Linked DNA regions of Canis lupus familiaris. The protein of the gene in region 2 interacts with the protein of the main gene of each other region in a pairwise test. Links are inferred from orthologs where the notes say so. Each region holds a gene or a part of one and is shown on either strand. Other genes may lie near its edges.

Evidence for each region.
Region 1: the proteins of SGTB (region 2) and SERPINI2 interact in binary tests that used the Homo sapiens proteins (3 or more experiments, as listed by UniProt). The two-hybrid records come from large-scale screens. The link is inferred for Canis lupus familiaris from reciprocal best matches to the Homo sapiens genes SGTB and SERPINI2.

The regions. Positions count from the first base shown.
Region 1 is NC_049255.1:32,597,272-32,600,771, reverse strand, and holds part of SERPINI2 (serpin I2), read left to right. Parts: intron 1-1,131; coding exon 1,132-1,362; intron 1,363-2,806; coding exon 2,807-3,001; intron 3,002-3,083; coding exon 3,084-3,276; intron 3,277-3,500.
Region 2 is NC_049223.1:50,639,680-50,643,179, reverse strand, and holds part of SGTB (small glutamine-rich tetratricopeptide repeat-containing protein beta), read left to right. Parts: intron 1-2,432; coding exon 2,433-2,571; intron 2,572-2,675; coding exon 2,676-2,738; intron 2,739-3,500. UniProt on the Homo sapiens protein: Co-chaperone that binds directly to HSC70 and HSP70 and regulates their ATPase activity.

The DNA of each region.
Region 1 (3,500 bases), on a different chromosome or scaffold from region 2:
ACAAAGATGCCTTATGCCTCTAGCTCTCCAATAAAATGCACACACACACACACACGCACACACACACACACACACACAGATGCCGTATTTCCAATGGACAGCTCAAGGCAAGTTCTCATTAAAACTTTTCTCTCTTTATTCAGTGGGTATCTTCTAATGAAGAACCATTTATGTTTTCTTCAATAAAGATTAATTGCACATACTCAACTTTCAAGTTATGAAAGTGGCATTTTTATATTCAGCTCAAAATGTAACAAAGGCCCCGAGTGAAACTTTGATTTGAAATATAGTTCCTAGACTTAAAATGACTGAGTCCCAGGATTAAGCCAGAAGGGGATGAAAAACATCGACACCTTCGGTCATGAATAGCCCCTGAACAAAGATCAAAGCTGAATTGTCTCCTAGGCACATACACCTTCCCAACAACAGTGCAGTCAGAATGAGACAGCAATACATAATAGGACAGTGGTGATTTTTAGCTGACTCTGGTGGCATCATTTGGCTAGTGGTAATAGTTGGCATGTTTAAAGATCTTTATTGTTCATGTAGACAGCCAAAGTATATACATTCGTGAACCTGAAGAAATAGGCAATTCTGATTCTTGCACATCTCTAGAGCTGCTTATAGGGGTTGCCTCATAAATTTCACAACATGGACAGGTGCCATTGCTCACAAGAGAGCAATTCTTAAGCTGGAATAAAAGCAATATTGAAAAGGATTGCTCATCACTGTCATACCCCCATCAGTATTCATTAGAATTCTCCTTCCATAAATATCACATGTTGTGCAAAGAATGAGGTTCTAAAGATAAATTTCCAACAAGTAAGAATGAGCTAAATTTGACTATAAAAAGGGAATTTCCTTCAGCCTGTTTAAATGCACATTCTTGTTTTTGACAAATTTCAAATTTACATGGACATTCTTTCTTCCTATATAAAAACTGAGTTCTTTATAAAATGCATATTCTATGAAGACAAATGCTTAAAATATTTATACTAACTCAGAAAGGACCGTTAGTTATACGTAAGGGTGCAAAAAATGGTGATATGAATCAGCGCTTAGAAGCAAAGCTGAAAAGCTGTTGTTTTTATGTTGTTCAATATGTCAGTATACATTATAATTATTTTTTAGGGGAAGAATTTTCTGTGCTGAAGTCATTTTTCTCTGCCATCTCAGAGAAAAAGCAAGAATTTACATTTAATCTTGCCAATGCCCTCTACCTTCAAGAAGGATTCACTGTGAAAGAACAGTATCTCCATAGCAACAAGGAATTTTTTCAGAGTGCCATAAAACTGGTGGATTTTCAGGATGCAAAGACTTCTGCAGAGACAATAAGTACCTGGGTAGAAAGCAAAACAGATGGTAAAGTTTCCCATTTTCATACACTCATTATTTGCCATTGTATTCACGGTTTTTAATATCCTAAGTAAGAATGGTTGAATATTTTCCTACTAAACTACGGCTCAGAGGGATCTCCTGTTTTGCCGCCCTGTTATTCAAATTAATTCTGAATTGTAAAACTGAGAGAAATTGTAAGCTGCTTTGAAAAGCATACAGAATTTTTGGGGGAGACACCCATTTACAGAATTTTTAATGGAAAACCTTTAATAATAATTTTTGTTTAAGCATAGGTTTTTAGCCTATGGCAGCAGAAATAATATCTTTGGCCAGGTAAAAATTGGATCTGTCAATTTCAAGTGCCTTTTTTCCCACATATACTGTAAATAATTAACACATCTTAGTTGGATGTGTTAATGTTTAATAATAAATGTTGATAGTCCTATCATAAACACGATAATTTCAACTTTAATTGCAATACAATCCAGCCAAAATTCTTCAGTGACTGTGGAAAGACACCGTAGAAAGAACACAGGCTTAAAGTCACTCAGATCAGAGTTCAAATCCTACCCAGTTCTAAGCTATGCCTCACCTAAAATGAGGATATTTTAAAAATGTTTCAGAGGTTATTTGAAGGTTTGATAATAATGTCTGTGAAATAACAAACATAAATTAGATCCTAGCTTAACAGTAGTTTGGTTCCTTGTTCATTTATTCTGCTACAAAAATCATGATGGCATAAGGTGCTACCATATTCCTTATAGGAAGTTTCACACAGGGGGGCATGGTTGAAAATGTGGGATGGATGGTTTGAGTGGCGTTCGCAGGTAAGTATCATTAACAGGACTCAAAATGAACATCCCTGGACAGTTCCATGGCGCTCGGTCATGCTTTTATCTCTTAACTGAAATAGCCATTGGACATAGAAATAACAGACTGGTTGTTAAAAAGAAGAAAATCATGCTAGCAACTCCTTTCTTGTCCCTTTCCCAGTGGGCAGTGGTGGTAGCCACAGTAGTAGGAGGTTTACCATTACCATTACTACACCAGTAGAAGGTGTACCATTAACTTATTACTTCTGATGGACCTGCTGGAAAAACTTGAGACAAAGTTTGAAAAACATCAATAAATATGCAGGAAGAGACATTCAGGTCTTGTTCTTTCTGACTGAAAAACGATTTACACAAATATTCTTGCTGGAGAGTCCATTATTAGTAGGTCTGTCCAGATTTGCCTAAGACAATCTTGTATCTCCTGTTTCCTAGTGAGATTCTCTTGGTACCTGTTTCTAAGTGAAATGTTTGAGAGTGCTCCCTTTTTTACTGTCAGAATTGCCAAGGTTAGGTAAAAAAGCACCCTGTTTATAACTGATCTGCAAAAGAAATTTTTGTTTTAATTCTATTTAAAGCAGCCCCACTGAACCACTCTTGCACATGTTTCCCTGTTTCGTCCTCCACCCCCGTCACAGGGAAAATTAAAGACATGTTTTCAGGGGAAGACTTTGGCCCTCTGACTCGACTTGTCCTGGTGAATGCTATTTATTTCAAGGGCGACTGGAAGCAGAAATTCAGAAAAGAGGACACACAGTTGACGAATTTTACTAAGAAAGATGGTGCAGCAGTCAAAATTCCAATGATGAAGGCTCTTCTGAGAACAAAATACGGTAATATGAAAAATCACTCTCCGAAGCATGATTTGGGGAATTGCCAAGAATATTTATTTAATATTTTCTTTCTCTGTTCCAGGTTATTTTTCTGAGCCCTCCATGAACTACCAGGTTTTGGAATTGCCTTATAAAGGTGACGGGTTTAGTTTAATCATCATTCTTCCCGCAGAGGACGTGAACATAGAAGAAATGGAAAAGCGAATCACTGCTCATCAAATCCTAAAATGGTTCTCTGAGATGCAAGAAGAGGAAGTGGAAGTAAGCCTCCCTAGGTTGGTAATGTCATTTTATTATTTGGTTCTTATGTTTTCACTCATGGAGGCATTTGAATAGCTGGCTGAAAGATAACAAATATTTGAATAGGCTATTGATGAGAAGAAAAATGCATTTGAAAATATAGCTCCACTTTATGGATACAAAGGCAAGCCTGAACATTGGCAGTATTGCTTTGCCATGAGGAGCACTGAATTTAAGTGCTCAATATTCCCCGAAATAG
Region 2 (3,500 bases):
TTTTATTTATTTATTTGACAGAGCGGGGCATATAAACAGGGAGAGTGGCAGGCAGAGGGAGAGAGAGAGAGAAGCAGACTCCCCACAGAGCGGGGAGCTTGACATGGGCTCAATCCCAGGGTCCCAGGCTCATGACCTGAGCCAAAGGCAGACGCTTAACCAACTGAGCCACCCAGGCACCTCCCCAACAAACTTTTTGTTACTTTCTTAAATCTTTTCCATCTCAATAAATGGTACCTCATTTACCTACTAGTGCCAGAAAGTCAAAAGCCTAGTAGTTATCCTTCATTATTATTATGCCTGACAGGATTAATCTATCAGCAAGTCCTGTCCATTCTGATTTCAATTATATCTTGAATTCAAGCATTGAATGCTATCTTGCTTCTAACCCTAGTCCAAATCACCATCTCTTACTTAGGCTACTGCGGTAGCTTCGTAACTGGTCCCCCTGCCACCATTCTACCCATACCCATGTTGATCATCTGCAGAAAAGCCAGAATGAATGTTTTTATTTGTTTGTTTGTTTTGTGAGCAATGGGGCGAAGGAGAGGGAGGGAGGGAGGAAGGAGGAAAGGGCAGAGGGAGAAAGAGAGAATCTTAAGTTCCATAGATGCGCAGCACATAGGGCTCAATCAATCTCACAACCCTGAGATCATGACCTGAGCCGAAATCAAGAGTCACAGGCTTAATGGACTGAGCCACCCAGGCGCCCCCAGAGTGAATGTTTAAACCACAAATCAGATCTGTCACTCCATTGCAACCAGAATAAAATCCAGACTCCAGACTGTGGTCTTACATGGTCTGGCTCCTGATTATTTTATTCCCTGACATCATCTTTCCACACTCTTTTCTGTGCTTCCTCATCAGCTCTTGTCCGGTTCCTTAAGGATGCCAAACGCATTGTTCTCAGCACTTTGTGTTTACAGTGTCTTCTGTTTCGAATGCTCCTTTGATTTACAAGTGACTGCTTTCTTCTCATCACTCAGGTCTTTTCACTGTGGCTGTCTTTGAGCAGCTCCCCTTTAATACTATGATTTTATTTGTGTGTGTATTGCTTATCTTCCCAGGTAGGATGAAGTTTTCTTAACCTCAAGGACTTCATCTTTCTCTTTGTGAACTATAAAATAGTATCTGGTATGCAGTAGGGTTTTTTTTGGTTTTTTGGTTTAGAAATGTTTTTTTAAATATTTTATTTAAATTCAAATTTACCAACATATAGTATAATACCTAGTGGTCATCTCATCATGTGCCTTCCTTGGTACCCATCACCCCATTACCCCATCCCCCCTCCTACCTCCCCTTCACAAGGTAGGGTTTCAATAAATATTTATTGAATCTTGATTAACTGATTACTCTGAAGTAATATCTTTATTGTTGACTGGAAGAAAATCAGTTAGGTTCTGAGAATTTTTCTGTGTTTAGACACTGAATTTTGTTTTGATCAGAGGTCTGGGAGGTAAGTCATCCAAGAAAGAAATAGAGTAATTTGTTAAAAACAAACAGAACAGGGATCCCTGGGTGGCGCAGCGGTTTGGCGCCTGCCTTTGGCCCAGGGCGCGATCCTGGAGACCCGAGATCGAATCCCACGTCGGGCTCCCGGTGCATGGAGCCTGCTTCTCCCTCTGCCTGTGTCTCTGCCTCTCTCTCTCTCTCTCTCTGTGTGACTATCATAAATAAATAAAAAAAATTAAAAAAAAAAAAAAACAGAACAAATAAAAACCCTCAATACTATCTGTCCATATATACTATTACTGTATAGTTGGGAAGTAATTTTCTGATAAATTCTAACTAGATAGAGGATAACAAAATTTAATAACTAAGTCTTTGATCTGTGCCTGGGTTAATAATGTGTTGAGTGGTAAAGGATCCTAATTTTATCTACTTAAGTTAATACGACTTCTTCAGGAGTAGTCCACTGATACCCCATAGCCCATTTTTATTTTTTTAAATGGTGAATTGATATTTATTGTGGCTCAGTGTATCTGTTAGGAAGAAGGAAGAAAGTGGGACATTAGGAAGCACACATCTAGTTGAGTCCTTAAAATGATTTTAGCATCATGGAGCTATAATGGCCACAGGTTGTTAGCTCACATCATTGTGGAGCTTTGCCATTACTAAGGCAGATTACTTAACATATTAACCTTAAAATTTGAAAGGTAGGTAAGGTTCATTTCTAAGCATTAAATTCATGACTCACGGGACAACGTTTCGGGATGGCCAAGTTTGTCAGCAAGTAGAATGGAGAGAGTCCAGACTTACAGAATCTTGAAATTAGAAGGAATTTTGGTGATATCCCTGTGAATCATAGTACGGTGGATAAAGTAAGTGTAGTGTGGATTCAGATTGATTACCGAGGCAGATGTTTGACTGTTGGTGATGTCCTGATGTTCTTTAATCATGTGTCTTATACTCTTCTATTTTATTCTTTTCAGACTGGCCCTCACTGCCATAAATAAATTCGAAGAAGCAGTTACAAGTTATCAAAAGGCGTTAGATCTTGACCCTGAAAATGATTCTTACAAGTCAAATTTGAAAATAGCAGAACAGAAGTTAAGAGAGGTATCCAGTCCTGTAAGTTATTGACGACAGATGATGGCAATATTTTCTGTCATTCACAATTTATTACAATCAAATTGCAGTGGTTAAAATAATTCTCAAATATCATTGTTTTACAGACAGGAACTGGATTGAGCTTTGACATGGCTAGTTTAATAAATAATCCAGCCTTCATTAGTATGGTGAGTAGATTTCCTTTTCTGTTCTGCTGGCTGTCTTTCCATAGCGTTATATGGTTCCCAGGCTTTTAGAAACATACAAGGGAGCTTTGGTGGTGGGGGGTGGGGTAGGGGTGGTGGTAGGGGTGATATAATGCTCTGGCTCAGGTTTTTAACCTGCCTGTGTACCTCTTTGTGAGAAAGCCCAGAGAGACTTTAGGAGGCCCATGGATTCCCTGAAATTGTATATAAAAATTTGTATGTAAGTGTACCTATGCATTTTTTAGGGAGAGAACTGTATTTTTCATCCGATGGACAAAGGGGTCTGAAAATCAAAAGGTTAAAAACAAGTCTTTTCCGTGAAAGCGGCCCTAGGAAGATCTCTAGTAATTGAGGTCTGAGTGGTTTGACTGTCACGGTACCCTAAGGTCTCCTCTTTTGGTCTGCTTCCTTTCTATCCTGAGTTTATTTGAACTTTTAGTATAATCCTTATATGTATGTATTTCATCCTTCAACAAAATCACTCATGGATCTTTTTGAAGACACACATGCTCTGATCCAGTTTGTGGAAACTGATTTAGTGGGTCGGGGATGTTACATGGCCATGTAAAGCTCCTTGAGTGATTATTTCTGGTTGAGAACCATTCATTCTACTACATGCCATGCCCTTGGAAGGCAGCAGTGCCACTTGTATTCATCTTTGGTTCTTTCAAAAAAAAATGTGCCCTGCATCCACGGTATCTTTGTTTGCATTGAAATGCACAGATGGCTCATTCTTGATGAAAT